2 linked regions of the Arabidopsis thaliana genome follow. The protein of the gene in region 1 interacts with the protein of each later gene in a pairwise test. Each region holds a gene or a part of one and is shown on either strand. Other genes may lie near its edges.

Region 1 (14,856 bases):
TTAAGTGCGACATTACTGCCGAACGTCCCAAACTATCAGCATGGATTGAGGTATATATATATGCAATCTTCATTAAGTCAGAAAAGATTACACTTATCCTCACTAGGGAATGGTACTTAAGCGATCGGTGTTATGTTTGCAGGAAATTAACAAGAGCGATGGCTATGCACAGACGAAAATGGATCCTAAGGAGATTGTGGAGGTTTTCAAGAAAAAATTCATGGTAAGTCATACAACTAGGATATAATTTTTTTAACTGAACTACCACATGATTTTAATGGATCCAAATGTGAGTTGCTTCATATTTTCTTGGGGGTTAGAACATAAAAGCTATATATGCCTTTAAGCATCTGGTTGTTTAGGTGTGAATGTTCGTTGCTTTGGGTTAGTTTTCTGTTTTGGGAATGAAAACCGAGTCGGTTTAGCATCTGGCTCAGAGACAATCTCATCTTTCTCCAACGAGCGTTTTGCGACTTAGACGTTTTGAAAGCAAAGACCATGCACTAATCATCAGCTAGCCTATTACTATGGCCAAATGACTTGTTTAATACTTTCTCGGTTAATGGTCTATACTAAATGTGAGTCTAATTCCGGTTATATTCTTGCAGTAACTGTAAGCAAGCACGAAGCAGTAAAGTGTATGAGACCAAACCACCTTGTACGAACAGGTGGTCTTTGGATATGAAGAAATAAGATGTGTACTTGAACCTGATGATGCAATAAGATTTGTACTTTAAGCAGCAACAGCTTAATCTGTATTCTAGTGTTGATCAAATTATCAACCATTGACATTGTTAATATATTACTGTATGATAGTAATACTATCAAAATCTCACACATTAAGAACCAGATGATGCAATAAGGATAAGGTGTATAGTTAACTTGCAGCAACAGCTTGATCTATATTTGACTGTTCACCAATAATCAATCCTTGACATTGTAATATGATATCAATACAATCAAAATCTCACACATTAAAGTTTTGAAAACTATAGTACTTTAATATTTATACAATAACTTTGGAATCGAAGCAGACATCCTCAGTACAATAATGAGAAATTGTCACATTTGAAAGCAAGCGCTCAATAAACATTACATTAAACAACATCACCTATAACAACATTATAAACCGGCCTCTATATGAATCTATCTCTTCTTACACATATCTACAAGTAGCTCTTAAGCCATACATTCACACTTAGTCTGAAAATCATCCACCTTTCCTCTCCAAGAAAGACAGCACGGAATGGGTTTAAGCTACATAACTTACACAGCATTGCGGTTCTCGGGATTATTTTCAGACCCTCTTTGATCTAGGTGGAGTCCCTGGAGCGAAAAGGGATCCTTGGACTGGCTGAGCCAGAGGATCAAACTTTTGGGAGGCGAGGTAAGAAAGTGCAGTGACGACGTCAGCAATGAGAGGTCTAAGATTTGGCTGCTCTTGTACGCACATCGCTGCTACAGCGAGTGCTTGGTATAACCCTCGCGGAGGGTATTGACCTTGAAGCATTGGATCAGCCATCTGAGAGAATTTCCTCCTGTCTTTAAACAAAGGCCTTGCCTGACATAGAGAGCATTTCAAAGAATACAATTAGAAGGAAGAATCCGCAGAGAAAACAAAGTTTGTTCCCAATTTGTTTTTTTTTCTTACCCATGCGACTAGATTCTGTTCTCCAGTAGATCTTGAACTGTCTATTGCTTTCCGACCAGTTATAATCTCCAACAGAACAACACCGAAGCTGTAAACGTCTGATTTGAGTGTTAGCTGGCCTGTCATTGCATACTCGGGAGCACAGTATCCGTATGTTCCCATAACCCGAGTGGACACATGAGACTTGTCCCCAACTGGGCCAAGTTTAGCCAACCCGAAGTCGGATAGCTTTGGAAAGTAATCATCATCGAGCAAAATATTTGAGCATTTCAAATCTCGATAGATCACTGGAGGCATGGTTTTGTCATGCAGATACTCCAAACCTTTTGCAGCACCGGCAGCTATTTTCATTCTGGTGTTCCAGTCAAGTGGCTGCTTACCAGGTGAAATGTCTGAAATAAAAAAAGCATCACCCGATTGAAATTTAAAGACTTCTCATAGGCATGTGTGATCTTAGAAGCGCATACCGTGCAAATGATCTTCAAGTGAACCTAGGGGCATGTACTCGTAGACTAGAAGCCTTTGATCTCCATCAGCACAATATCCTATTAAGTTAACAAGATTCGGGTGATGAAGAAGACTCAACATGAGAACCTCGACGAGGAACTCCCTGTTTCCTTGTAAACCATTATGATCAAGTTGCTTGATAGCCGCTGTCTACAAATGAAGATATAATGACAGTGAGCTTTCACTACCAAGAAGATTCAAAAGGTTAAAACCAAGCAAAAAAAAGGGAAGGAACCTGGCTAGTGCTGGCCAAGTATCCTTTGTAAACTCTACCAAATCCTCCTTCTCCTATAAGACATTCTTTTCTGAAGTTTCTAGTGGCAGTAGCTAACTCAGAGAATGTAAACGTTTGTGCCACAATGTGATCAGAGCCTTTACTTTTGGATTCACTCAAGGACGACTTGGCCCTAGATTTCTCTACAAAAAAAGAAAGAAAAGAAAGCGATAAGAAGAAATAATTAATCAACACAAGCTGAGCATAATTGTCTCAAGGTCAATAATCAACAAATTAAAGTTCTAAGAATATAGCAAGATACTTAAGGATCTAGCAAGTCCCATTTAAGAGTTTAATCCACAACTTCCACTGGAGAGCAATAACAACAATTAACAGGAAAGAGACATGCAATAACACATCACTGTCAAAATACTAACACAGGTGTTACAGAGTAGTCAAAAGCTAGTGAAATGGAAGGAAAAAAGCAATCTTTAAACAGAAAGTCAAAAACCCTAATCAGCATTAGCAAACGATGATGGCTCACAGGAATCAGAAAGTTTTAGCAAAGGATAAAAATTTCCATAATTTAGTAAGAGAAGGTTAAACCCAGAATTAAAATTGGACAAAGACTATAAAGAGAAATTACCTGAAGTAGACACAGAACAATCAGAAGACTTCCTGTCGAGTTTGTGGTCACCGTTCCTCCTTGTCTTATTCCTCCCACTCGATTTCCCAGAACACGGGATCCAACCCATTAAGCTTCTCACGATCTTCTTCTTCTTCAAATGATTCTTCGTTTCGATTGTGTTCGATGATCTCAAAAGCGAGAGAGAGAGAGAGAAGCTTAGAGAACTTTGAAATGTAAAAAAAGCACGCCAAGCCAATCGCTGGATTTTTCGATTTTTCTCTTTTGATATAAAATATATTTTTAAAACAATTTAATTTTTGTGATACAAATTAATGTGAATGGGTTTGACTTTGACAAATAAAAATTAATTGTCAAAGAAAAAAAGACAAACAAAAATTATATTTTATCAAAGTAGTATCAACTAACTACCCCCATGGAATTTAAATTTCTTTTCAACACACAAAAAGAGATTATTTGATTGAATAAATTTCTTGTGTTGTAAGTTGTAACAATATTGAAATTGAACTTTAATAAGCAACAATCGTGGTCACCATTATAGTTTCCAATCATTTGGGTATAAGAGATTGATTATTCCTATTTTAAAATGGTGTTTATCAAAGACAGATTTTTTCTAAGAATATATATATTTACGATATAAGCTAAATGATATTGAAAGAGATAATGTTGATACAATACGACACCGTACTATGCACGGCTCCAAAAGCAAGCTTATACCAAAAAATATACAGAGAAGGGGTTATTGTTTTACAAGTTTACAACATCTACAAAGATTTCACTACATCCTGAAACCAAACCCTTCGTCCTAATTTCACAAACCAGACCAGACAACGACAATAATAACAAACAATCAAATGTCGTAGTGTCTTTGTTTCGTGAATAGTAGTAGTATTATCAAAGAATCAGACTTTGAAGGGAAAATGTTAAAACATGTGATAGATATATATATATAAGATAGATATGAGCACATTACTCATGTTTTTGGGCTGAGAAATAGTGGGTTTTGTTGATTTTCCGTTAGCTATCCTCAATGTTTTTTATGTCGTTATCATCAGTTGCAGCGGCTGTTTTACGCACAAATTGGCCTCGCACTCGAGGGCGTTGTTCTGCTAGTTTTTTCCGGCTTTGGTATCGTACCTGAGAAAGCCAAAAAAAAAACATTTTTGCGGTTTGCATTTGCTTTCGCAATTTACAAGAATACTTTTTTTTTCCTTTGTTATAGATTTGACCGAGAATTTACCTTCTTTCGGAAGCACCTCTCTTTTCTCTTCTGACGGAACTTTGTCAAAGCAGCTTCCCTTTGAGAGATCTTATTTTCATCCGCCAAGTTTCCGCTACCACTTCCACTTCCGCTTCCACTACCATCGCCATTTCCATTTTTGCCAGCACCATTATCACTTCCCATATTCATTCCTCCAGCATTCATACCGTTACTGCTTCCATATGGCCCATTACTTCCATGACCACTACCTGATACACTTCCATTCACACTGTAATTCACTGTGTTGTTGTTACCTTCAATCGTTTCGTTGTACACATTTGAGGATCCACATTGTGGCGGTAGCTTCTTCCTCTCAGCGACATGGACAAGGTTATAGGAGGCATGATTATTATGATGATCACAGGGTAAAGGCTGAAACGATGAATGCTTCACTGATGAAGATCCTGCTGAGCTTACTTTTGGAGCTCCTGGTTTTGTGAAAGCGTTGTTCTCAGTCGTGGAACTCATATCAAAGTTATTGCTACCGACATGTGAGCGATGATTATGGGGGAGACTCTCATTCATGTTCGAGTGACAATCATATGCTGCTTCAGTCTTTTTTATAAGATCCTGACTATTATTATCCTGAAGCGAAGTGCTTCCTAAGTTCCCACCAGAAATCTTATTGGCATTTGAGGCTGGATTATACCTGCACAAGTCCAACAGTCGATCTCATAGTTCTTCAATAAGGCATTCAAAAGGTTGTGTACGGAAGAAAAAACAGAGGTTTGATTCTAAGAAAGTACCTTGAGAAAGCTGAGCCCTCTGAACGCCTCAGCACATTCCGATCATCCCTAACTAGTGTCCCATCATCTTTAGTTCCTCTATGCCTCTTTGAACTATGTTCCACGTGCATTAGCTCTTCAGAAATTTTAACAGAAGCTTCATTTGTATCTAAAGTTTTCAAGTGAGTGTTAGGCGCCTCAGGTTCTCTGTTATCTTGAAGGTGGCTAGACATAGCTTTGAAACTCGAGCCTCCATCTTCATGCATTTGTTTACTTGAAGGACTTTCGCTACTGAGGTCCAATGGTCCTTTTCCAACTTTCATTTTCCATTTACTAGAGCTCTTTTCAAACGAATTATCCTGTCTCATAATGCCAGTAGTTTTAGATAGGGGTTCATCTTTTGGCTCCAGGGCCAGATCACAGTTTCTACGAATGCTAATCTCCAAGTCTCTACCCATTGTGACATCTTCTGCAAAATAGATGAAAAACATTCAATATCATGTTTTTGAGTTTCAGTATAAAGAAGAGTATGGAAGAAACTAAGAGATCACAGTTTCCTTTCTTTACCAAATTTATCATCATGTTCTTGAGTCTCCTTCTCAGCAGGTGGTGCAACCAACTGATTACTTGGAAACTCAGGGTTAGAATGTACCACTTGGGCGCAAGTGCTATCAACTCGGTCCCATAGAGATACCGCTCGTGGACTGTCATCAACATCCACAGCTTTTTTCGTCCAAGAGCTCTGAACAAAAAAAGGTATGTCAAAATCAACCTAGGTTTTGGAGATAAACCATGTGCAAAATAAAACTTCAAAATGAACTAGAAATTTTCACCCAGTTTATCACTGAATAGATCTAAGTTAAACATCATTGAGTTCTACAATTGGTTAGTTAAGCGCTTCCACCATTTATAAGCATCTGAGTGCACATGCGAAGTTCGATCATCCGACCCCTATCATTTGTGGTTAAGAAATTTTTAAAAGGATAGCTTCTCGGGTGTATATTTAGATTATCGGTATTGCACATTCGTCTTACCTGAGCGCCACTCCCATCACTACTTCCATCACTAGCATTCAGGCCAATGCTCCCATTTTCATTCTCATCACTGCTTCCTGAATCTTGATCAGATTTTTTAATACTTTTCGATTTCACAGACTTTTGAGTTTGATGCGTTCCGCTCTCACTTCCACTACCACTAGACTGAACAAGAAACAAGGAAAACCATGAGAAACCAAAAAGTAAGATACCAATCATGTGGAAAAAAAAAAAGAAGATACCAATCCACAATTAGACCATGAATTTCTAGTTTACTACTTATCACCAGTTGTACCAACAGGTTTTCAGATTAATCATATATGAGCAAGGACATACACTTTGGCATCTTCTCCAAACATGCTGCCAAAGGATCTTAAGCTCATTTTTTCTTATTGGCTTAACAAGAAAGTCAACAGCTCCTTTCGATAAGCACTTAAAGACCAGCCCCATTGAGTCATGAGATGACATCACTGCAACACAAATCTCACAGGGGAATGTAGTTAAAAGCATCTACTTTCCAACATACGCTAGAGAAGACTCAACAAATCGTGTAACTTCAAAAGAAAGAGCTCAATGTAAAACGACCAAGGAAAAAGAACTCACTGATGACAGGGATGTTCCGACGAGATTTGTGGTTCAAAATCTTGCACAAGAGACCGATACCAGATAAGTAAGGCATGATCACCTCTGTTAGCACAATATCAATATGATTGTTTAGATCTTCTAACACCTTCCAAGCTTGTATCCCATTTGACGCCTCAACAACTGCCATGACAGAGTTAATAATAATCAATCAACAAACAGAACCGAAACGGGTACATATATGCGCTATAGATTAAAGTTGGGCCATAGGCTTCAAAACTGACCTTCATAGCTACAATTGCGAAGAAGTGCAGTAACGATATAACGAGTGCAGTCGTCATTTTCGACAAGCAGAACTCTAATGGTTCTCACATGAAGAAACCTTTCCCAACAGACAGTTGCCGCTGTTTGTTGCGACAATGGAATTTGCAGTCCACCTGAACTCCCATTTCTCACATCCATAGTAATTCCATTAGTTTTCTCTTCTTCACTATGCTTCTCTGTCCGACTCTCAACCCTATCGAATTTCGTCTCTCCGGTCTTTCGATCAGTGATTGGGTAACGTGAACCCTCCCCCTCCTCATTAGCATTCATCACACCAACTCTGCTTCGCTGAATTCAAATGATCAAAATATCAAAACACAGCCATAAACCCTAATTTCGATTATTGCAATAGCTAGAGGAGTTAGAATCGTACAATATCTCAGATTAACAGAAAAAAGAGTTGAAGAACGACGAATTCTCAAAAAACCAACTAATCAAGTAACTTTTTGAAGAATCATCAAAAAATCGAATCTAGACAAATTACATCAAATAAAAATCCAACCATACAAAAGCATCTAAATTCCAAGAGAGTACTGATCTTACAATAATCAAATACTAGAACGAAGAATCGAGCTCCAGAAGTTGCATCAATCACCAGAAAAATGGATCTAGCACAATCAGCTAACGGTTGGGAAATAGAAACAAGGAATTCAAATCGATAAACAGAATTAAGAATCGAAGCTTCTTAGAACTTTAGAAGGAAGATAAACACAGTGAACAATTTTTGAGATTATGAGGTTTTTCTGTCTCCCAGAGAGTGGAAATCGGAGACGACCATAAGCCACCGATTTTTATTTTTCCGGAGATAGATAGATATTAGAAAGATTTGTCTCGGGCCAACAAAAAAAAAAAGGAAATTAAAAAATCGTAATATCTGACATGGACAAAACTAGAGGTCCCGAACGTTCGAGAAGTTCCACGTCAGAGCGGATATTTCCACATCATATATTGGCGAGGATTAGTGACGTGGATGGTATATCAAAAACAGTCGTTCAGGAGGCTAGTGGCAGATTATTAAGATCTTTTTGAACTGACACGTGTAATGGTGGGTAAGGAAAACGTCAAGTGGTAAACTCATCTGGACCGTTGAATAGATTTTGGCGGAAGAGACTAGCGTTTAAAGATTTTATAGATGTAGTTAATATTGGGCTTACCATATGGGCCATTCAAAAAGATTTTAACCCAATAAAAAATATTCAAAAAACTATCGTCGACAGCAGGGTTCGAACCTGCGCGGGCGAAGCCCAATAGATTTCAAGTCTATCTCCTTAACCACTCGGACATATCGACATCTCGTTAAAAGCACAATTAATTAACTTAATAAATGCGTTTCTAAGTCTACCCCTTTAGTTTACCCTAGAAATAACATTCACGAGATACGTTGACCTAAAGGGTAAATTTTCCCGCCATTGTTAGTACCAGAACTCTCTGGGCCGCCGCGTCTCCGTCGTCGTGGCTATCTACAGATGGCGGATAAGAAGAAGCGAAAGCGATCAAAAGATGACGAGGCGGAGGAACTTCCTTTCAAAAGCATTCTGGAATCAGACGACGTTATCACGGAGCTTCTCAAATCGTATATTTCCTCTTCTATCAAAGCCGCCGCCGGAGCCGGCGGTGCCTCCTCCTCTTCATCGAAACCTCTAACCCTAGCTGACCTCTCTCTATCATCTTCCTGTCGTGAAGTCGCAGATCTCTCACTCTCCTCCGTGCAGACAGAGATAGAGACAGTCATCGTCCAGATCGCCCGTTCTATTCTCGCCGGTGATGGCTTCTCCTTCAGTGTTCCTTCACGCGCCGCCTCGAATCAGCTGTATGTTCCTGAGCTCGACCGTATAGTGCTAAAAGACAAATCTACCCTCCGTCCATTTGCCTCCGTTTCTTCTGTCAGGAAAACCACCATCACCACTCGTATCCTCGCCCTTATCCACCAACTCTGCCTCAGGAACATTCACGTTACTAAGCGTGATCTCTTCTACACCGACGTTAAGCTTTTCCAGGTAGGTTCTTCTTGCTTTCAATTTTACTTGAGATGATACTTTCTTCCCATTAAATAGAGAATGATAGTCACTGTTTTAGATCCAGCTCTTGTAAACCTGAATCGAAAGTTCTAGCATTGATTCTTTGTAGTTTCGATTTTGGAAGGTTTTTGAACCAATTCGCAACCTTACTGAATTTTCAGGACCAGACACAGAGTGATGCTGTGTTGGATGATGTCTCATGTATGCTCGGTTGCACAAGGTCAAGTCTCAATGTCATTGCAGCAGAGAAAGGTGTGGTGGTGGGAAGGCTTATATTCAGTGACAATGGAGACATGATAGATTGCACAAAGATGGGAATGGGTGGGAAAGCCATTCCACCAAACATTGACCGGGTTGGAGATATGCAGAGTGATGCTATGTTCATACTCTTAGTTGAAAAAGATGCAGCTTATATGAGGTTAGCTGAAGACAGATTCTATAACCGGTTCCCTTGTATCATCGTGACTGCAAAAGGCCAGCCTGATGTAGCTACAAGGCTCTTCTTGAGGAAAATGAAAATGGAGCTTAAGCTTCCGGTACTTGCCTTGGTGGATAGTGATCCTTACGGATTGAAGATCTTGTCGGTGTATGGATGTGGGTCGAAGAACATGTCATATGATAGTGCAAACTTGACTACGCCTGATATTAAGTGGCTTGGAATTAGGCCGAGTGATTTGGACAAGTATAAGATACCTGAACAGTGTAGGTTGCCGATGACTGAGCAGGATATTAAGACCGGGAAGGATATGCTAGAGGAGGATTTCGTGAAGAAAAATCCCGGGTGGGTCGAGGAACTTAACCTGATGGTGAAAACGAAGCAAAAGGCTGAGATTCAGGCGTTGAGCTCTTTTGGTTTCCAGTATTTATCGGAAGTTTACTTGCCCCTGAAACTGCAGCAGCAGGATTGGCTCTGATAATCAGGTTTCTTCCTGATCAATTAGATAGACCAACAAGTGTACTCTACAAATTTCGAATTTTTGATAATGCAATTGCCTGTTTCTTAGCATGTGAATTATTATTGCAAAGATCGAAATTTGGTTTTAAATTTATGGTTGAATCTACACAGAACTGGAAAGATAGCTGTCAGATGATTATTTAGAAGACAACTCTTTTGTTTATTTAGAAGATTGTATACAATATGATGGGCATTGAGATGATATGCAATCTTTCCCCATTCTTTTCTGCATATGGTTTGAATTAGCATAAAATACAATGATGACTGATTAGTAATGTAACAGTCGGAGGCAGCTACTTTCTGCGCTGCAACCACTGATACAGAGACGCCTTTGTAACCATCAACCTCTCCAGAATCGCAGGTCTCCTCGTTGAGGATATACTAACAAATGACTTAGTGTTCTCTTGGTCTGCATCATCTACACAGTGTGCATCCTGTATGATATTTCTTTGTCCAGCAGGAAGAACCACAAGAGACAATTCATCTCGTAGAAGCTTCACTAGCGCTTCTTGCACAGTAATCTCTTGCTTTCCTGAAACGGTATTTGCTTCATCGGTTCCTATGATAATCAACACATCATCTATTACAACGTCACCTGCAAAGGAGATTCAGTTAGTTACAAGTGTTTTTTAGTCTCTACTGGCATAAAATTCAACAACATTTGATTTTTTTGTCCTAACTTAAGCTGCATGTATGCTGTTCCCGTTTGAAATGTTTACCGAGTCAAAAAGTTACTACATGAGAGAGAGAATGTATTGGTGTCTTGAATCTTACCTCGCATATAGTCTTCCTTGATCATTCGCAAAACTGCTAGAACAACAAGTCGAGCCTCAATCTGTAAATGGATGCAAAAGTTTGACATGGTCATATCGCTGAAAGAGTTAAATTGATAGGACTACAAGCACATATGAATATTTCATTGTCTCCAGTAACTTACCTTGGTAAGTCCTTGAAGGTCAATTGCAAGGTTTCCAGCTGTTCTCTCTTGCATGTGTGTAGCTACTTTTTCAATGAGTAGGCTTACAGGTCTCCCTGCGTTATCTCCTTCTTGGTCGCTTATTTTATCTTGGCTCTGACCGTTTTCCTGTATGACTCCTTCGCACCACTCCTCAATAAGTTCCTTGAGAAAGTGATCGTTAGGTTTGTACCTGCAGTGTTGTGGCTTTGTTTGTGAGTAAAAAGGAATGCCTCCTTACTTGTTGCGGAACCATCAGGAAGAGAAATGAAAGTAGACCATAAAAGTAAAAATTGTTCATACCCTGCATTTCGCATGTCCTGATATATAGCCAAGCATTGCCGCACTTCAAGTAAAGAACCATATTTGCTTCGTGCTTTAAGAAGTGTATTATATGTCACCTGAGAAACAATTTTCTAGACTGAGAAATGCTGAAATAAATTTTGAAACGGCTTCCATCTTTAGGAAATGCATTCCGTCAATTTAGACTACTCTAATAATAGCTTTGGACTTTATATGCATAATTTTATACACATCACTGATAATTTCAGTCTGCTGATTCTCTCGAAGGTGGCGTTAGTAGCTGAAAGGGACAAAAAGAAACAAAGCAAATTCGAGGAGGAGAATTACCCAGTTTGGCTTAATCTGATATCTCCTCATCTCCTCAAACAAAGAAAATGCCAACTTCAAACATTTATTTTCCGCACAAATCTGCAAGATAATAAGGTCTGGATCTTCACACCTTTGAGTTGCACAATAATTAACAACAAAGCAGAAATGTTGGCACCACTAAGAGAGAGATTAATACCTTGATTGCTGTTGTGTATGCAACAACATCAGGTCTGGTTCCAGCCGAATGCATAGTTCTCAAAATCTGTGCTGGAAAAGAATTTCTATCAGGGAACTTATCATATTACTGCAAATCCCATCATTGATATTATGAATGTATCTGGAAGCTTATAAACAAAAGCTGGAGAAGTATGATCACCTTAATGCTATATCTCTGTTTTAGGAAAGAGATTTGAATGATTAATTTTAAAAAAAAAATCAAGAGAAAAGTTAACTCACCCGTACAGCACCTTCTACATCGCCTGAACCTCCACACATATCAATCAAAGTCGACCATGTTATTTGATTAGGTGAAAGACCTAGGCTCTTCATCTCATCCATCAATTCTTTTCCTCGATAGTAATCAGTACCACAGGCTTTCAAGAGTATATTATATGTAGCAGTTGTTGGCTTGAAGCAAAATCTCTTTGAAGCTTGGATATAAGGTGAATTAGAATTGCGATTCACCAAAGACCCAGGACCATTATTTTTCAATATATTTGGGCTGGAAGTGCGACCTTTACTAACTATGTCATCTGCATATAAGGATTCATTAACGGAGCTTCCTTTCCAAGATTGAAAAAGACGAAAAGCTCTGTCATACTGGCAAGCTTCAACGCAAGCATGCAGTAGGATGTTGAAACATTGAGAATTAGGCTCGCAGCCAGATGCAAGCATTTCTTCAAATAGGTGATTTGCCTGCTCTACTAAACCTGCATTGGCACATGCACTGATTAATGATGACCATGTATGAGTATTTGGGGTTACACCAACAGATTTCATATCATCTTTGACTTTGAGTGCCCATTTCCACATCTTTGCATCTGCAAAAACCTGATCTTAAGACATTATTCAGAGACTTAGGGATATAAAAGCAAAAACTAATGATAAACTTAGTTTTCCAAAAATACTGATATTGTACCTTTATAATAGTACAATATGTAAAGGCGTCCAACTTCAACAATCCGGAAGATTCCATTCGTTTTGCTTCTTTGTATATATCCTGGGCAAGATCAACCCGTCCAGCCAGGCAACATGTTTTCAGTAGTATGTTGTAGGATGTCATGTCAGCTGTAACATCAAGTATCTGCCCATGACATGTAGAGTTTCAAGGTCAGTCCACACCCACTCCTAAATCTAAAATACTCTCTAGACAATTCAAATACTTGTATTCAAGAGACAGAAGAAAGAACATACCTGCATATTCTTGTATACTTTTAGTGTGTACCCAAGATCATGGGAATTAACATTCATTAGACTGTTAATAACATAAATATTTGGCTTAATGTTTTCTTTGAGAAGATCCTGCCACAAAATTATGAATTAACTACAAATCTCAAATGCAGGATGGCAGACAAAATCGAGCGTAAAGGATACTTACGCAAAAATACAGTATAATTAGGGAATTACCTCATATATGTACCTCGATTTAACGTAATCACCACACAGGCCACAAACATCTATCATCGTTCGGCATATATACATGTTAGGAGTATCCAAAATCTGTTTGCAGGCTTCATATGCTGTCATAACAGAGACCATATCTCCTTTCTTTCCGAAACCATGAATAATTCTACAAAGCAATAACTCTGTATGCGGCAAAAGACATGCGTATCTGCATTCAATAATCATCAAATCGTTAGCAGAACACACTACATCCAGCATTCTTGTAATAACTTTCTGAATTTGAAAACCATTAACCTGAATCGTTATGTGGGAAACAAGGCTTACCTAATAGCTAATTGAGGATTGGAAATTTCAACACAACTCTTTACAACATCAAAAGGATCCACCAACTCTTTGATTTTGAATCCGAGACCTGAAATAAGAAGCAGGTAATCAATTCAAGAGTTCATAGTCACAGTGTAACAGCAAGAATTGATATAGTATTTACCGGCAAGTATCTCCATTAGATCAATAGCTTTCTCCACTTGCACAGAGTTAGCCATTGCTCGAAACTGTTTCCTCATTAATTTCACAGACGAATCATCGACAAGGTCCAATGGAGCAATTCCTACCTTCTCAATTCTCTTCAAAGTGTAAACGACGCTCTCAATCTTACCTTGTCGAAGATTCGACGAAATCCCTTTCGATAAGAGATCATAATCAACCATGGAAGCGAAACGAGCCACATTAGCTCCGGACTCTGCAGCCAAAGTCTCGGCGATGAGAGCGACGTCCTCAATTCGACCATCCTCAGCTAGCTTCGAGGCAAAATCAGCGTAATACTCAAGCGAGCCATCTGGAATCCATCTTACGACATTGGAGAAGTGGCTAGAGAGAGAATGAGTCGCGGAGACTGAAGCAGGAGAAGGTGAATGTTGCTGCGGTAGTGACGGAAGTAGCTTGGTGAAAGAAGAATTGGATTTAGTTTTCCGGTTGGACTCTGGTGCTGTGGCGTAACAGCGACGGTGGTGATGGTGAGGATTGGTTATGGCGGAGGAGGAGCCAAAGACAATAACAAAGTCTCTCATTCCTCGCCAACGGTTAGGATCATCATCGTATCATCATTGTGGCTCAGTTTTTCTGGTTTTCTAATTTCATGTAAATCAAATGGATTGGATTTGAAAGGCTATTTTTACAACTTCCACACCGGACCGGATTTGTAGTGTTAAAATACACCGGTATATATAAACCGATTTGGTACTTTGATTTTAAATTTTAAGAAATAAAATAAGAAAAAGGAGAAAAATGGATGGCCTGAAATTGCAAGCGAAGCGTCTCCACATATTATACACCAACTTCTTGCCCGCCATGTGGATATCGTCGTCATTTCTCTCTCTAACCCCTTCTCTCTTCAGTCTCTCTCTCTCTAGACGATCTCTATCTTGAATAAAATACCGATAATGACCTCAACCAATCCGGTGGTCGCCGAAGTAATACCGGCGGAAACTTCTACAGATGCTACAGAGACGACGATTGCAACGACGGAAGCTGGTGAAGCACCGGAGAAGAAGGTGAGGAAAGCTTACACAATCACCAAGTCTAGAGAGAGTTGGACTGAAGGAGAACACGACAAGTTTCTGGAAGCTCTTCAATTGTAATTTTACCGCGCTCTTTTTTTCTTCCACCAGCTATTTGATTGACTGATTCTTTGTGTTTCGAGCTCTAATTTATAGCTGAATTTTGCGTAATTTCGCGTAATTTCTACTTAAT
Region 2 (18,110 bases), on another chromosome or scaffold:
TGGAAAGGGAAAGAAAGATATTTTGAAGTGATGATTAGGATCAGATATTTTTCGTATCTATAACTGTATTCTTTCTAATTTTGAAAACGAACCCTCCAAAATAGTACAATTTATTCAACCACTCCTCTTGTTTATTTCTTTCTATTTTGGATAAATCTTTTCATAAACCCATAGAATAAAAAAAATCAAAATACTATTTTCAACATAGAATAAACCTAAATTTATGCTCTGAATCGGTTTTATAATATGCCTACGTTTAGTTTTATTTTGTATTGTGTATTTTATGCTAAAATCTATGTTTGTGGTTTTAGTTTGGTAGATAAGAATTATAGTATTATGTTGTTGATTGGTGTGACATACACATTTTAATTTGTTAACTTGGGTCAAAATATCATTTGTTAATTGAGCACTTACAAAATGGATGCTCAATTAACAAATGAAATCTCACATAAAAACAGTCCTAATTTTTGTTAACTTTTGGGTCAAAATATTTTTTTCCCGCTGGGCCTAGTAAAAGCACTCTTTACATATGATTTTTTTTCCAGTGGGCTTACTGCAAACACACTATGCTTTATGACACTGATATTCCAAAAATTAAAATGCAATGAAACATTCAAGTCCCAAGTATTTTGTTTTGCTTATGCTATGCTTTATTGGAAATCAATTCATAAAATGTAAACTTGACACAGAAATAATATTGAATTTTTTTTTTTGACCGCGAAATAATATTGAAATTATACTCAGTAAATTGTTTATAAGCAGAAATGGCCCTAACAAAATGAAGACCACAAGCCCAAAATAATATATGGTTCAGTAATAGTATGTTTACAAGTTAAAAAAATATGTAAACATGGTTACTCAAACACCTTCCCACTATGAGCCATAACCACTACAATCCCATGCTTGGCCAGTTTGGCCCATAGGCCATAGCCGACTCTCTTTCTAATTATCAAAAACAAACATTAAAATTCAGTGGCAGCCATTGTAAATAAGTCTCAACTATATGATTTATTTCACAAAATGGCTGCAAAAATTTATATGTAGATTTAAGGTTAAAATTTACGTAATATGCAGAAATTAAACTACAAACATAGTGACATTTGACTCAAAACATTATTTTATTAGTTTTTTAATATATATTCTGAATAAAAAAAAGTTGAAAATTAATAGAATTTTTTTTAAAGATATCGTCACACTTGGAAAACCGCAGATTTTCCGCTTGTACTTTTCTTATAAAGCTTTCTAACTCTTTTATTATTTGTTTCAGAAGCATCGGTTACATTTACGCCTATCTTGAAAATTTAAATCTCATTTAGTGTTCGAGTTCTTACGTTTTGGTCCGTCTAAATTCGTTCAGTCAACAATTTTTTTTAAAAATATTTTCTTATGTTGGACTCATATGTGATATTTTACATCAATGATTAAAAAACTTAATGATATTATTAGAGAACTATTTCTTGCTTATGTGCCATTGCTTTGATAAATTGATTTCCGTTCACATTCATGTTGTTTAACTTATAACTTAATTTTGTACACAAACCAATTAACACTACTTTTTGTTTATTTGTTTACCATATGCATCACTACATATTATAATTTATGAATAACAAATAAAAAACGGTTTAAGTCGTAAATAGTGATGATTAAAACTATTTTGAAACTAAACATTTTTTTTTGTTTTGACATGAAAATAAATAAATAAGGAAGAAAGGGGCGTAATCGCCATCTATAAAGAAGAGAGAAGAAGGGAGAAACCGAATCCTTGAAAAGTCCCATTAACAAACAAACGAGAAAACCAACTCTGGAGAATGGCGAATCTACCTTCTTCTCTCTCCATGGGCACACCTTTCGGTGGTCCTAGCACCTCCGCACAAAATCCTACCGGAGCTCCGGCCAACAAAGATCGCAATTTGGCCTCTGCTGAACAGTTGGTACTCGATCTCAGCAATCCTGAACTCAGAGAAAATGCTCTTCTCGAGCTTTCCAAGGTTTTCTTATAATCTCTCATGTTTTCTTCTTCATTTCTTCCATCTGGGCAGTCGTTTTTTTTGTCTGATTCGTCAACGAGCGCTAGGGTTACTCTTGAAATTTGCTAAAGTTGAGAACTTTTCTCAAATTGTGTTGAGTATGTGAATTTGGGAACTTGGTTCAGTATCTGAATTAGTGGTTTCTTTTGTAGAAAAGAGAATTGTTTCAGGATCTGGCGCCTTTGTTGTGGAACTCTTTTGGTACCATTGCTGCCTTGTTACAGGTAATGACTTAAATGCATCTGTTTCGGTTATCTCCAGTTACTTAAATGCTTTTCCTTTCTTGTTAAATTGATGAGCGTTGAATGCAAATGATTCTTTTATATCTAAATGCTATTTATTCGGTGTTAGTAGCGTGGTTTTGATTTGACTGTTTCGTCTATTTGTGCTTGCAGGAGATTGTATCAATCTACTCTGTTCTTGCACCTCCAAATCTGACTCCTGCTCAGTCCAACCGTGTTTGCAACTCGCTCGCTCTTCTTCAGGTTCACATGGAGATTTCGTCTTCTTATTTAGGATGTTTTATTTCATGTTCATATATTTTGCTGAATCCATCAGATTTCTAATGATTTTCTGTCTTGTTGTTTTACTCTGCAGTGCGTAGCATCTCATTCTGACACGAGAATGTTATTTCTCAAGGGTAATGTTCTTTTTCTTTTCATCAGGCTAAGCTTAATGTTATATAGTATGTACCATTGGGGATGTCTATTATATGCTCTTGTCTATTTGATACGAGTTAGTGGGGTTATCTGTTTATTGTATATTTATTGCATGGTTTCAGTTTATTTCGTGAAGCAATACAACTGATGAATTTGTTGTTATGCCTTTTCTTCGTTCTTGTGCACAGCTCATATCCCGTTGTACCTTTATCCCTTCCTTAATACAACGAGTAAGTCCAGACCTTTCGAATACTTGCGGCTTACTAGCCTAGGTGTCATCGGTGCACTTGTGAAGGTACACCATCCCGTCCCTTTTCTGTTCCTTGTTTCTCTTTGGTTTTGATGTTCCCCACCTACTTTTTGCTGAAAGCAAAGGACTAAAAATTGTGTTAGTGGTCTTGGTTTCTAAAGTAGAGAATTTATATTCTTTTTTGGTGGTTAGTGTATGAAATAAGAAAGGTTCATCGGATCCTTATTTCACTTTGTTTTCCAGGTTGATGATACAGAGGTCATTAGCTTCCTTCTTTCAACTGAAATTATTCCTCTGTGCCTCCGTACCATGGAAATGGGGAGTGAGCTGTCAAAAACAGTAAGTCTTTTAATTTACCGTTACATTTTCATGTTCATATGGTACCTTCTTTAAGTTTCTTGACAGTCTTAAAATTCGTTTTAGATGCACATTTGTTAGTGATTTTATTTCTAACTTTTTTGGCATTTGAAATCGTTAATAATGATAAGCCAAATCCTAACTTTCAAAATCATATTAAGAAATGAGTCTCAGTTTTTCTTGTTACTGTTTCTCTTAAGTGTATGAATGTATTACCTAAAATGATAATCCAAATCCTAACTTTTAAAGTCCTAAAAGAAAATGAGTCTCGTTTCTTCATTTAACTGTTTCTCTTAAGCCCAAAAATTACTCATTCTGAGTTTTTTTATATATCCTAGGCTGGGATTGTAAAGTTTCCATAGAACCAGTTCTGCGCCAATGAAATGGTGTCTACATTGAAACTCATTGAAAGTGTGCAACCCCTTGCTTACGTATTAACATAATGTTAATGACAGGTGGCAACATTTATTGTTCAAAAGATACTGTTGGATGATGTGGGGATGGATTACATCTGCACAACAGCAGAGCGGTTTTTTGCAGTTGGTCGAGTGTTGGGAAATATGGTTCAGTCACTTGTGGAGCAGCCTTCTCCGCGCCTTTTGAAGCATATCATTCGTTGCTATCTCCGTTTATCAGACAACCCAAGGTTGATTTAGCCCAAAACAAACTTACTCAGAAATGACTTTTCGTAGTTTATCATGTGTTTGGCTTTCTTATGCTTAAGCTTTTGTGTTAATTAGGGCTTGTGCTGCACTCGCAAGCTGTCTCCCTGACTCGCTACGAGATGGATCCTTTAGCAATTGTCTTCGCGTAAGTCATCGTCATCTTTTGACTTGGTTTTTGATATTGTTTGTGTAAGAGATGATTCAGTTGAAAACTTGTTGTGTACTTCTTTTCAGGAGGATCCAACTGCAAGAAGGTGGCTGCAACAGTTGGTGCACAATGTTGGAGTTGGTCGCGTCCCAACACATCAAGGTGGAGGATTTGAGCACATGCTTTGAGCTGAATCCATCTCAAACCCATCCATGGAGTGTGTTTCTTCTGTTTTTGTTTCTAATTATACATGTGCTTTTTAATGCCTTAACTTAGATGATGGGTTATAGGCTTTTTAGTCTGTTTGAAATTCTTATTGTAATTATTTTTAAGCTCTAGAACCAATCCCCCAGAATGCATAAGTCTTGGGATAATAAAAGATTGGTTACAAAAGAAATATTATAGAGTTTGTATTATCATGTTGAACGGTAACAATTTTTATTCCAGCAAAAGCTTTAGCGGTATGTTGGAGTCTAATCGTACTTAATAAAGGTTCAAAGCTAGAATTTGTTGACAGGGACTACGGCTCCATTTTTCGCACCAGACTCGAGCATTGCTTCAAGAACTGCAACGTCACGAGCACCTTCCACATATGATAGACGAGGCTCTTGCTCCTGAAACGGATCCATAATAGGAGAGTTTAGGTAATAGAATACTCATGTTATGAGTTCCTGCATTCCAAGGCTAAGATTCTAGGATTACCTTTGAAGTTTCTGAAATATCATTGAAGAACGCTTTTAACTCTTCAGTCACTCCGCTGAATGGGTAAAAGATGGTCCTTGATGTCCCTCCTTCCCCGTAAATCGTGGCCTGAAAATTTCATAAGATCACAGCCATTTGAGTTGAGTAGTTTCAAGCAAAATCTGGATCATTCAGATGGTCACATGTTAAAGTATACAAACCATGTAACCATGTCGGCCACCTTCCACTCCACGCTCTAGTTGAACAGTGCCCTTTAGTCCTACGATTCTCCATAGTATCTAACAAATAGAAGTTATGTAAGAAAAACTATGGTTATTAGGCTAAACCGGTGTGGAAAGAAGAAAATCTAAGTCTTACTACATGCCTTTGGAGACCTTGAAGACACAACCATAACAAAAACCCCAGAGCATCCGTTCTCGAGCTGACTATAGAGCAAACATCCTGGATTAGTATGTTCATGTGAAATTAGTGTGCTAAGAAACAAGATTGATGTATTTACACTTACAAGTTTGATGTTATATTGTCTGGTCCAGGTAAAGTCTTATCCACATGGGTAGTGGTGGCTGAGACTGATGTTACCTCACATCCAACAAGCTGTTCATGAAAAACCAATATATCATACTTGGGATCCACAGCAAGATAAGCTTATCAGCTAATGAAGTTACACGGTACCATTCTTAATCCTGCAATGTAATGTACACCCATATCCAAGATGAAACCACCCTGCATATGAAGAACTTTCTGTAAAATATTAACAGATAACACAGTTTCTTCAAGATATATATGGGTGATTGATATATATGTCAGTGTAATTCTTATGTTACAGTCTAAGTAAGCAGCGTGTTAGGAAGATGCAATGCAACAGAGTCTGACAAAATAAGAATGTGACGGAATAGAAAGTATTACATACACTCAAATTTCGCCTCCAGGAGCTTGAGAAATAAGGATTAGAACTGTTCATTGATCCCTCAATAATAAGCTGGACGTTCATCATATCTCCAATTTCTGCTATCAGTTTCTTCAACTGCCGAAAGCAACCATGAAATACTTCAATTTTTCAAGGACAATATTACTTGCTCAAATAGGTAGTGCCAAGAAGACAATAAGTAACAGTTACCTCAACAAAAGCTGGCTCAAAACGATAATTTTCAGCCACAGCCCAAATTGGACGGCATGGGGAATCAGCAGAAATATTTCTATAGCTTGACATTGCAGTTTCTATCTCACTGATTGCTGCAACAAAAAAACTTGTAAAACAATAGGAATAAAGCATTTCATCTGCACTTTAGAGTGGCATAACCAGGAAGACTATAGTTTCACGTTAAATGGGTCATGCTCAACAGGAAAAATTGACTCTGGGCTAGAGTAGTGGAACTTAAACAACATGCCAAGTTGGTTTAAACAAGAGCAGTGATCAACTTACAAGCAGCAGCTGGCTTCTCTGCAGACCGATCCAGGACAGCAATATACATATCAAGAAAAAAGAAATATCTTTAGCTTTTTAAGTTGGGACACATTTCCAAGAAGCAATAACATTGCTAAAGAAGACGATCATAAAAGCAGAGCAGAAATGAAGTGGACAAGTCACCTTGAAGGACGTGCTTTCCTGCCTTGAGCATCTTCAGTGACAATTCAACCTAAAGCACAAGACTTTGAGTAAGAAATATCCTATGCACTGTCCCAACTAGATTCATACGCATCTCTCAAGTCTAAGATCAAACATACCATGGTTTCTGCAGCTACAACTACAGCAACACCAACTATTGAACTGTCTTGAATGATCTCATTGAGACCCTCATCTCCCCATTTGCACTTCACTTCAGGAAAATGCTTTCTTGCTATCTCCACAGCTCCTTTTGCAGATTCCTTCAACCATAACAAAAATCACAATTCGCCAAAGTTTTCATCTTTTTAGACATTTGGCATAAACATCTCCCAAAAATCAAGCGCATTGATCGAAATGTCACCTCAGTACGGCTCCAAATCGCTTTCAGGTCGACGAGATCGGAGATCTCAGCTAATCTCGGAATGTATTGAGTTTTGACGAAGATCCCAGCTCCGAGTATGGCAATTCCAGGTGAAGAAGGATTCACCATTTTTTTCCTTTCTCGTGTAATGGTTTTCTCTATTGGATCCAAACAGAATCAAGTTAACTTACAACTGTTGCTGCTTATAGTCACACCACACAACTCATGAAACACTAAGTCCAATCGCAAACGCTATAATTTAGTAAAATGACCGATATAACCCCAGCAACCAATCTCTTTGATCGAGTTTCCTTAACTTCCCTCCATAAAACCCTAGATCCTGCTTTGAATTTTGATTGGAAACTTGTAGTGTTGTACTCTGAGACATTTGGTTTGATCTGACTCAAATTTTCACAATTTGTTGTTGTTTCAATGGCGGGTGATGATTTAGTTGAAACGAAGAAGGGAAGCTCGAAGAACTCTAAGGACAGCAACGAGAGCAAGCTCAAGCAAAGTAATGCTCTATGTATCATTTGCTGCACAATTGATTTCAATTGAGATTAAGCTCAATTGACTCTCTTTTTTGAATTCGTGAATTTGCAGAATCTCCAGCTGAGTTTTTCGCGGAGAACAAGAACATTGCTGGATTTGATAATGTGAGTCCCCAATTTGTTGGTTTCAATTCAAACGATGCATCTTTGTAATTTCAATTCTGTATCACACGAATTTTGAATTGTGGATCTCATCAGCCAGGGAAGTCGCTTTATACTACAGTTAGAGAGCTTGTTGAAAATGCTCTTGATTCTGCAGAGTCTATTTCAGAGCTCCCTGAGGTTGAAGTAACTATGTACGTTCCTTACTTCGTGCTGATTCGAGATGTTAGTTCTGGTAGGAGAAACTGTGTAGGGGTTTAGTTCACTGACTGTCTTGTTTATATTTTTGAAGCGAAGAGATTGTAAAATCTAAGTTCAACTCCATGATTGGTCTTATCGATCGGGAACGTGTTGACACACAGCTGTATGATGATTATGAGACAGAAAAGGCCCGTGGGGTGCGTGAATTCTGTGTTTATTACTCTCTTCTTCGTTCTGATCAAATCCTTGTGCTTTTAAGAAGCTACTTTTTAGTGTTCAAGAAGTTTCACTGTTCTGTAATCCTTGTGATTCTAATATTTGTTGTTGTTTCCTGTTATGTAGAAAAGGTTAGCAAAGGAAGCTCGAGCCAGTGAGATACAAGCTAAAAATTTGGCATCGGGAAAGAAAAACAAAGAGCCTGGAGTATCGAAGGTTTTAAAGGCCCGTGGGGAAGCCTCATATTACAAAGTGACATGTAAGGTGAGAGTTTGAATAATATTTGTTTGATTCAACAGAAATTTATATATGCAATTTTAAGTATATGTATAAATATATGGAGATCCTAATTGTTTTCTTAAACATTTTTTGAGTTATGAATTGAGTTGATCATAATGTAGGATAATGGTAAGGGGATGCCACATGATGACATTCCAAATATGTTTGGGAGAGGTAAAATAGCTAATGACCACCCTCACTTCCTCTATTGATTTAGCCTGGCATATCAACCTTATAATAAACCTTTATATTGAGGCTAAGTTTACAAATTGTTCTTCTTACAGTTTTATCCGGGACGAAGTATGGACTGAAGCAAACACGTGGAAAGTTTGGTCTGGGTGCAAAGATGGTAATAATCTATTCTTATCAAGTTTGATATCTGAGATTAGCCTGTAAAACTGCATGAAATGCTGAAGTGGTTTATCAGTTTCAAATTTGCAGCCTTTAGATGGCTCGTTCCTAGGTTTACAAAAGGAATATATGTTGTATATGTTGCTTTAGGAGGATTTAATCATTGGCTTTGATTTGCAGCTGGTCTTTTGTTTTTGTATTCATATTCATAACATATCTATGTTTCCCTTCATATCGATATTTTTTCCAGAGAACTTGTTTAACCCTTCTAGTTTCTCTAAATTTTCCTGGCGTGCAGGCCTTAATCTGGTCCAAAATGAGTACAGGTCTCCCCATAGAGATCTCGTCATCTATGAAGAGCCAAAACTATGTTACTTTCTGCAGACTGGATATTGATATTCACAGGTACCCATCTGAATACATGAGCAGCTTCTCGAAAGCGGATATCAATCTAATTTTTTATGTTTGGGCATTTGACATAATAGCTATGAATCCTTCGGATTTTCCACGCCGTATAATTGTCTTCAAATGGTTAAAATTTTCAGGAACATTCCTCATATTCATCTGCACGAAAAGAAGGGCAACAAAGAGAAATGGCATGGGGCTGAAATACAGGTGGTTATCGAAGGAAACTGGACAACATACAGAGTACGTGGTCTAGCTCGTCCTTCTGCTGTATATTATTTCTTAAGTGTTCATTAGACATATATGCACGCAAACTTGTTTAACACATTTTATTTTTTTGTTGTATCCAGTCAAAGATCTTGCACTATATGCGCCAAATGGCTGTCATTACTCCTTATGCGCAGTTTCTGTTTAGATTTATATCAGAGACACCAGAGTAAGATCACTATCTTTCTGTTTTTTTGCTGCTCTGTCACATAGCTCTTTATGTGCAGCATTATCGGGTTTTTAAATCTTCTTTTCATGTAGGAAAAATGTCACTATTAAGTTTACTCGAAGAACGGATGTGATGCCCCCTATTCCTATCGAGACAAAGCACCATCCATCGTCAGTTGACTTGCTGCTTATCAAGCGCCTTATTACAGACACTTCCAAAAAGACCCTTCTGCAGTTTCTTCAAAATGAATTTGTGAATATTAACAAAACCCTTGCAGCACGATTAATTGGTAATATGACATCAATCTCATTTGTTACATAAGTTTGAAGTTGTTTAATATTCCCCCTCACATCACATTTGGCAGTACTTTTACTTGGCCAATGGAAATGATCTGATATCCAATTAAGAAATTCTGTATCACATGTCCTGATGGATTAGACGGATTATTATATTCACTAAAAATGTTTGCTGATTCTGAATGGCAATTTTCTGCTTCATTTTGCTGGTTATTATTCTGAGAAAATCATCCATGCCTTTTATATTTACTAAGCCTGTGCTATCTCTTTAGTCAAATTCAGTCATAAGTATTCTTGTTTTCTTTCTTTCAGGGGAAATGGGACCTGATTTCGGGCCTAGCATGGCTGTCAAATCTGTGACATCTCAGCAAATGGTACGCATACATCAGTTATTCCGCCAAGCTAAATTCGACGACCCTAGTGGTGATGTAAGCAGCTACTTTCTCTCTAAGGTTCACTGGGAACTGCTTTATTATCTCTATATCTCTCTCGAGGGTCTTATAAAATTTCAAGTTAGAGCATCTGTATTGTTTCGAAAATTAGCTCTATTCATACTGCGGTTTTCTTCTGTAGTGTCTTAGCCCAGCAGGAGAATACAATCTTCGTCTAGGGATTATTAAGGAGCTACATCCAGATATGGTGGCAACGTATTCCGGCAGGTTGTCACTGCAACCCTCTTTTCTACGAATTCATCTGATTTAGATATGGAGTTTATTTTTCTTATAGTAATCTCATATGTCAAGCTTTACCTACTTTGTCGTTAATCTGAGCTTTGTTTCATCAAGTGTTGACTTCTTCCTGGAAACTATGTTTAGTGCTCAGGTCTTCGAAGGTCATCCTTTCATTGTTGAAGCTGGTGTTAGTTTGGGTGGAAGAGACGTGAAACAGGCAAGTCATATCCTCCTTTTGTTTATTCATGTGTCATCAAGTTCTCATAGATTTAAGGTTGCTCTAAGTATGAGCATGAATCCACCATAACCATTGCTCTTTATCTTTTGTCGATCTCACTCTTCTACTATCTAATGGGTTATTTTGGGAATTTGCTGGAACTGAAATGGCAGGGGATCAACATATTCCGTTTTGCAAACCGTATTCCTCTCCTTTTTGAACAAGGAGCTGATGTTGTCACCAGGACGGCCTTAAAAAGAATCAAGTGAGACTCTTTCTTTAGCTTGCTGTATTCCTCTCTGTATATCGTTATAGTTGGTATCTTTCTCCAACTTTTTTTTATTAATGAGTATTTTCAAAACATTGCAGTTGGAATAGTTATAAGATCAACCAGACGCAAGATAAAATAGGAGTATTTGTGAGCATAGTGAGTACAAAAATTCCATTCAAAGGGACAGGGAAAGAGTACATAGGAGATGACATCAGTGAGATAGCTACTGCAGTCAAGGTAACATTAAGAAAAGATTTTTCTGACGTTATCCCACATCTTATTAAATCTAACTTTCCGCCTTTATTTCCATCAGTCTGCAATTCAACAATGCTGCATCCAACTGAAATCCAAAATAGTCAAGAGACTGCAAGCCCGTGAACAACAAGAGCGAAAACGCAGTTTGAGCAGGTAAAAAAGATAATCAGTGTCCTTCCCATTTTATGCTCCAACCCTGAAAAAAAAGATAACCAAAACTGGAAATGCTTGCAGATACATCCCCGATGCAACGGGGGCAGTGTACGAGGTTCTAAAACAAATGACAGAAGAACATAAAACAAAGAGAAAACGTTACGGAGAGGAAGACATAGTTATGCTTGATAAAGTATCTAAACAGATAATCACAAAAGAAACATTGAAAGAAAAGCTAGCTGAGCATGTAGAACAGGTCTTTTTTTTTTTTGCATCAATCACTTCTCAGCATAAGTTTCTACTGCATCATCACTTTTAAGTCATTCTTGCTGAATATATGTGGTGGTTTCAGGTGGACTACGAGATGGCATTAGAGTATGCAACACAAAGTGGAGTAAGTGAAGAACCCAGAGAAAATATATATCTCCAACACTTAGATCCCAACAAATCCAACTTCATAGATCTTCATAGTCCAACTTTTGTCTTCAGGCTCATGTTGTAAAACATATTTGCATCTCTCTATTAGTCAATTCTTTTCTTTCAGTGTTTTTTGGGATATTTTAAGACAAACACTTGAAAAGTGGAAAAAAGAAGACATAAAATTTAACACTATGTTTGGTTAGTTTCAACAAATGTGTCGAAGAACGTGATAATAATTAATAAACAAAACAATCAAGAAGCATGAAAACTTTTATTAAAATAGTTTTCTCACCTCTTGAGAACAGATTTGTCATAATCGATAATAGTTGTCGATGATGACGAAACTTTTTCTACTTGTAATAAAATATAATTGTAAAAAAAGTGTGCGTTTTTTTTTCTCTCTACCGATTTTAATGAGAGGTATGGATAATGGATCTTTTCTTTTCTAAAACCCATTATTCCAAAAATGAAAATAAAAAACGTAGCACAACAATAAATAAAACTCCGCGTAAGAAACAATTAATTACATACCGCGTAAAATAAAATAAAATAAAAAAACAAACGAAGAGCAGTGAGTATTGCCAAAAGGCGCTTTGTTAATTACATATTAATTGTGTAATAATAATAATAAATGATGTCTTAAATTTTATGTGTAAGAAATGAAATTAAAATGATATATATGTATATTATATATCTAAACATATATATATATATATAAATAGAGTATATATACTATGATCTATCTTCCTGATCTACAGAGAGACTCCACAAAGAAACGCAAATAAACAAAAGTCGCTTTCTAGCCACGTGATCTTTCGTCGACTTTTCTTCTTCTTCTTCTTCTTCCTCTTCCTCATCTCGTATCTCTAACTTTTGTCGAAGTTCTTTTGATGAAACTAGGGTTTATTATCTTCTCCTTCTTTTTCCCATCACCATAGAAAAGGCAGAGACCTTTTTCTTCATCATTTTTATTCTCCTTCTTCTTCTGCTGTTCATTTCTCCAGGTACTATACGCTTCTTCTTCTATTGATTTTTTAGGGTTATTATTGATACTGAAGATGATGATAGGTTTATTCATAGGGTTTTACTAGATCGATGGTTTTACTTTAGTTTACTAGTGTTTACACGATCTAATTTCATGAGTTTATGCTACTTTTAGTTTTTTTTTTGGTTGAATTTTTGTTTATTGTTTATAAATCGTTGATCTATTTGAAAATGTTTTCTCTTTCTTATTCATATATGATCCTTTCTATATTTGGTTCCTATGTTGAAGATCTCATCCTTTTTTTGGAAATTGAATCTGTTGATAATTTTTATTATCCGATTGATTATTTAGTTTAGGAGTGATTAAAATACGATCTGATTATGTGTTTATTACTTAAAACTTTGATTGAATTCGAAAAGCCCCTTTTTTATAATTTAGGGTTTGATGATTTTTTTTAGTAAGTTGTTTGATTCAGAAGAAATATAATTGTACTGATTAGTTTTGTTTGTGTATTTGATTTGTTACAGGTTACAATGATGTTTAATGAGATGGGAATGTGTGGAAACATGGATTTCTTCTCTTCTGGATCACTTGGTGAAGTTGATTTCTGTCCTGTTCCACAAGCTGAGCCTGATTCCATTGTTGAAGATGACTATACTGATGATGAGATTGATGTTGATGAATTGGAGAGGAGGATGTGGAGAGACAAAATGCGGCTTAAACGTCTCAAGGAGCAGGATAAGGGTAAAGAAGGTGTTGATGCTGCTAAACAGAGGCAGTCTCAAGAGCAAGCTAGGAGGAAGAAAATGTCTAGAGCTCAAGATGGGATCTTGAAGTATATGTTGAAGATGATGGAAGTTTGTAAAGCTCAAGGCTTTGTTTATGGGATTATTCCGGAGAATGGGAAGCCTGTGACTGGTGCTTCTGATAATTTAAGGGAGTGGTGGAAAGATAAGGTTAGGTTTGATCGTAATGGTCCTGCGGCTATTACCAAGTATCAAGCGGAGAATAATATCCCGGGGATTCATGAAGGTAATAACCCGATTGGACCGACTCCTCATACCTTGCAAGAGCTTCAAGACACGACTCTTGGATCGCTTTTGTCTGCGTTGATGCAACACTGTGATCCTCCTCAGAGACGTTTTCCTTTGGAGAAAGGAGTTCCTCCTCCGTGGTGGCCTAATGGGAAAGAGGATTGGTGGCCTCAACTTGGTTTGCCTAAAGATCAAGGTCCTGCACCTTACAAGAAGCCTCATGATTTGAAGAAGGCGTGGAAAGTCGGCGTTTTGACTGCGGTTATCAAGCATATGTTTCCTGATATTGCTAAGATCCGTAAGCTCGTGAGGCAATCTAAATGTTTGCAGGATAAGATGACTGCTAAAGAGAGTGCTACCTGGCTTGCTATTATTAACCAAGAAGAGTCCTTGGCTAGAGAGCTTTATCCCGAGTCATGTCCACCTCTTTCTCTGTCTGGTGGAAGTTGCTCGCTTCTGATGAATGATTGCAGTCAATACGATGTTGAAGGTTTCGAGAAGGAGTCTCACTATGAAGTGGAAGAGCTCAAGCCAGAAAAAGTTATGAATTCTTCAAACTTTGGGATGGTTGCTAAAATGCATGACTTTCCTGTCAAAGAAGAAGTCCCAGCAGGAAACTCGGAATTCATGAGAAAGAGAAAGCCAAACAGAGATCTGAACACTATTATGGACAGAACCGTTTTCACCTGCGAGAATCTTGGGTGTGCGCACAGCGAAATCAGCCGGGGATTTCTGGATAGGAATTCGAGAGACAACCATCAACTGGCATGTCCACATCGAGACAGTCGCTTACCGTATGGAGCAGCACCATCCAGGTTTCATGTCAATGAAGTTAAGCCTGTAGTTGGATTTCCTCAGCCAAGGCCAGTGAACTCAGTAGCCCAACCAATTGACTTAACGGGTATAGTTCCTGAAGATGGACAGAAGATGATCTCAGAGCTCATGTCCATGTACGACAGAAATGTCCAGAGCAACCAAACCTCTATGGTCATGGAAAATCAAAGCGTGTCACTGCTTCAACCCACAGTCCATAACCATCAAGAACATCTCCAGTTCCCAGGAAACATGGTGGAAGGAAGTTTCTTTGAAGACTTGAACATCCCAAACAGAGCAAACAACAACAACAGCAGCAACAATCAAACGTTTTTTCAAGGGAACAACAACAACAACAATGTGTTTAAGTTCGACACTGCAGATCACAACAACTTTGAAGCTGCACATAACAACAACAATAACAGTAGCGGCAACAGGTTCCAGCTTGTGTTTGATTCCACACCGTTCGACATGGCGTCATTCGATTACAGAGATGATATGTCGATGCCAGGAGTAGTAGGAACGATGGATGGAATGCAGCAGAAGCAGCAAGATGTATCCATATGGTTCTAAAGTCTTGGTAGTAGATTTCATCTTCTCTTATTTTTATCTTTTGTGTTCTTACATTCACTCAACCATGTAATATTTTTTCCTGGGTCTCTCTGTCTCTATCGCTTGTTATGATGTGTCTGTAAGAGTCTCTAAAAACTCTCTGTTACTGTGTGTCTTTGTCTCGGCTTGGTGAATCTCTCTGTCATCATCAGCTTTTAGTTACACACCCGACTTGGGGATGAACGAACACTAAATGTAAGTTTTCATAATATAAATATATTTGCAAGCTCTCTTCTTCTGTGTGTTTTTGTTGAGTTTGACTTTTACAATTGAAAAGTTTGGTGTAATTCACGCTAACTACCTCAAAGTTAGGGAATGGTGGGATAATTATTTATTACAATTGTATTTGATGGATAACGTGCTTATCGCTAGTGGCTCGTGGGTAGCATTTAAGCATGGGTCAATGCTTGTGTCTACGAGCTCGAGTGATCGAGCACACACAATCCAATCCGAACACAAAACAAGAAGAAAAACAAAATAAGATCTTAGATGTAAGGTATTCTTAAATACCTTTTTTTTTGAACAATATATATTTCATTTTTTGTTTGTAATTATAAAATGGTCCTAGATTAGATTTTAAGTTTTGATTGATCATTAAACTAAATTTGTTTTTATATCTGTTTCTATCTTCTTTACTCACGCAATGACGCAAATCCTTATTTGAAACGGCTTGGAGAGGTTACTATTATTACAATAGGAACATGATAATAATAATCATATTTGATTGTTAACGTTCTCGTCGCTTGTGGCTCGTTGGTAACATTTAAGCATGGGTCAGTGCTTGTGTTCACGAGGTCGAGTGCTCGAGCACACATTTCCAAACCAAACACCAAAAAAAAGAAAGAAGAAAAAAAAAGGACCTTACATGTGAGGTATTCTTAAATACCTTTTTCCTGATTGTCTTTTTAATTGAACAATATTCATATGTTTAATATTTATCTATTTCAATTTTTTTTGTCCATATTATGGTTTATATATATTAATTCAGCCATTGAGATTTTGATAGCACAAATACTTGTCAAGCTTCAAACCATTAACAAGTCTCCAATCCTTCTCCTTAAAGTCATACCACATAAACCCAAGAGGAGCTAGAGTTATATACATAAATCACATAATCTATCACACACACATCGAACATCTTTATTGCAATAGTGCTCACATGCATGTACCATCTCTTGGATCATAAACTATCACTTCACTTGTCCATAACTCCTAGAATATAAGATCTTTCTCTCTATTGAGACAGAGATAAATATAGTGGGATTGTGGCGCCACTTCCAAAGTTTGTGTCTTGTGTCAAACACTTCCGGTTTGATCTCTTCGCACCCTTTAAACACGTAAATCATTTCATGCATCAATTAATCTCACAACTATGAAATAGCGAGCCACTCGCAAACTTGGACCTTGACGCAACTTTTCACACAGGGTATCAAGGATCCACATGTTCCTTGAAACATAATTGTAATTACCCAAGGGAAGTAAAATCTCATGAATCATGACCAACCATTAGAGCAGCAGAACATAGCTCAGCCTGAGTTAACCAAGTATTTATTAGTTCAGAGGATAGTCAACCGAAACCTAATCTTTAGGCAAAAAAGTCAACAAAAAATATACTCCAATAAATATATAGCAGAGACTTCGACGTTGGCGGGAAATTTATCGACGTCTCTTCGTCTTCTCGCCGCCGTTAGGGTTTCTTTCTTATTTTTATAATCTCTTCGTTTCACCTTTTTCCTTTCCGTCTCTCAGATGATTTTTTTCTAAAATCATCATGAGAAACTCGGTGAAATGGGAAACGGAATTAACCGGAGATCGCAGCAGGAGAAGAGAAGCCGATGAGTCCTCGGAGACACCAAAGATCGTAAAGAAGGAGAAGCGTAGTAAGACCGTAATTGCTTCATTACGGCCTCAACAACCGCCGATTCAGGAAGAAGAAGAACAAGGAATTGCTGATCGGAGAGCTATAAGATCTCAGTATCTTGCTCTTACCCACAAGATCAAAGGTTACATTCTATTTCTTCTACTTTAGGGTTTTTTTTAGGGTTTTTTTTCTGACCTAACTTTTTTTTGGTACAGATGCTAAAGATGACTTGACAAAAATTGATTCTAACAAGTTCAACAGTATCATTAATGAGGTTGAGAATTTGCACCAGAAAGGTAAATGTAAACTTGTCCCAATTCGTTTATATATATATTCCTAAGTCTTAAACTAGTAGATGTTTCTTATTTTGGATGAACCTAAAAACTGTTCTTAGTTCTTATGTTGTGTATTTTAGTTGTAGCAAGGATAATTTTATTCACTGATGATATCTTTTTTTGGTGCTTTTACATTTTTATTGCAGTTCGGAAGCCTAGAGAGCAGATTGCTGATGCGGAGGCGCTTTTGGATTTAACGAATAGTGTGGTTTCATCGGTGAAATCGCAATCAGCTCATGGTGGTGTTTCTCCAGCTGAGTTTGTTAATGCCTTGATCAATGGGTTTGGCAAAACTTCTTTAAGAATTGATGCTGATGAAAATACACAAGTGTCAATGAAGTGGAAGGATCTTGGGTTTACGGTCTGTTCCACGGTTTTGGTATCATGTGGTTGTACAACAATGTGAGTTTTCTTTCTCTCATTTACTAGTGCTTAATGTTAGGATATGGAATTGGTATACCTTATTCGACAATATCGATAATATTTTAACTTATTGTTCTGTTTTTGTATCTGTTTTTCTAGGATGGGTCCTATGTATAGTGAAATGAAACAAAGGAAAAGTAGAGTGGGCAACAGAAAACGTACAAAGCCTGGTGCTGGTGTTAAGCCAGAGGAGGTTGATGATACAGAAGCTGAAAAGAAAAGTGATACAGACAATAACATGGCAGTAATGTTTAACATCTTGCGGAAAAACAAACGTGTCAAGATTGAGAATTTGGTGCTCAATAGGAAATCATTTGCTCAGACAGCAGAGAATATGTTCGCACTTTCATTCCTGGTGAAAGATGGACGTGTTGAGATAACTGTTGATAACAATGGTTCTCATTTTGTTGGTAAGATTTACCTTTCCTTCCTTGTGTCTGATTTTGGT

What was found.
Region 2: the proteins of RHL2 (region 1) and TOP6B interact in binary tests that used the Arabidopsis thaliana proteins (3 or more experiments, as listed by UniProt).

The regions. Positions count from the first base shown.
Region 1 is NC_003076.8:634,248-649,103, forward strand, and holds RHL2 (Spo11/DNA topoisomerase VI, subunit A protein), read left to right. Parts: upstream 1-8,306; 5' UTR 8,307-8,410; coding exon 8,411-8,941; intron 8,942-9,123; coding exon 9,124-9,876; 3' UTR 9,877-10,147; downstream 10,148-14,856. Other genes in the region: GSTL3 (Glutathione S-transferase family protein), read left to right, coding at 1-50, 143-223, 609-611; CDL1 (Protein kinase superfamily protein), read right to left, coding at 1,298-1,561, 1,652-2,043, 2,119-2,308, 2,394-2,575, 3,019-3,127; PRR7 (pseudo-response regulator 7), read right to left, coding at 4,036-4,155, 4,259-4,928, 5,026-5,473, 5,572-5,746, 6,039-6,203, 6,375-6,508, 6,642-6,803, 6,905-7,214; AT5G02830 (Tetratricopeptide repeat (TPR)-like superfamily protein), read right to left, coding at 10,211-10,512, 10,692-10,752, 10,855-11,065, 11,176-11,273, 11,503-11,583, 11,681-11,746, 11,941-12,534, 12,623-12,787 and 4 more; LCL1 (LHY/CCA1-like 1), read left to right, coding at 14,547-14,740. UniProt on the Arabidopsis thaliana protein: Component of the DNA topoisomerase VI involved in chromatin organization and progression of endoreduplication cycles. Relaxes both positive and negative superturns and exhibits a strong decatenase activity. Involved in cell-elongation processes.
Region 2 is NC_003074.8:7,257,596-7,275,705, reverse strand, and holds TOP6B (topoisomerase 6 subunit B), read left to right. Parts: upstream 1-6,955; 5' UTR 6,956-7,207; coding exon 7,208-7,289; intron 7,290-7,378; coding exon 7,379-7,431; intron 7,432-7,524; coding exon 7,525-7,622; intron 7,623-7,720; coding exon 7,721-7,826; intron 7,827-7,971; coding exon 7,972-8,109; intron 8,110-8,246; coding exon 8,247-8,298; intron 8,299-8,408; coding exon 8,409-8,473; intron 8,474-8,773; coding exon 8,774-8,880; intron 8,881-9,020; coding exon 9,021-9,123; intron 9,124-9,230; coding exon 9,231-9,316; intron 9,317-9,408; coding exon 9,409-9,605; intron 9,606-9,924; coding exon 9,925-10,040; intron 10,041-10,185; coding exon 10,186-10,271; intron 10,272-10,427; coding exon 10,428-10,500; intron 10,501-10,673; coding exon 10,674-10,765; intron 10,766-10,869; coding exon 10,870-11,008; intron 11,009-11,084; coding exon 11,085-11,179; intron 11,180-11,260; coding exon 11,261-11,435; intron 11,436-11,531; coding exon 11,532-11,681; 3' UTR 11,682-11,806; and 1 more. Other genes in the region: AT3G20800 (Cell differentiation, Rcd1-like protein), read left to right, coding at 1,809-1,988, 2,180-2,251, 2,423-2,512, 2,625-2,667, 2,875-2,981, 3,180-3,275, 3,749-3,939, 4,034-4,103 and 1 more; AT3G20790 (NAD(P)-binding Rossmann-fold superfamily protein), read right to left, coding at 4,607-4,720, 4,809-4,916, 5,009-5,086, 5,173-5,233, 5,314-5,402, 5,481-5,531, 5,719-5,832, 5,926-6,041 and 4 more; EIN3 (Ethylene insensitive 3 family protein), read left to right, coding at 13,118-15,004; AT3G20760 (Nse4, component of Smc5/6 DNA repair complex), read left to right, coding at 16,815-17,046, 17,120-17,200, 17,386-17,641, 17,762-18,072. UniProt on the Arabidopsis thaliana protein: Component of the DNA topoisomerase VI involved in chromatin organization and progression of endoreduplication cycles. Relaxes both positive and negative superturns and exhibits a strong decatenase activity. The B subunit binds ATP.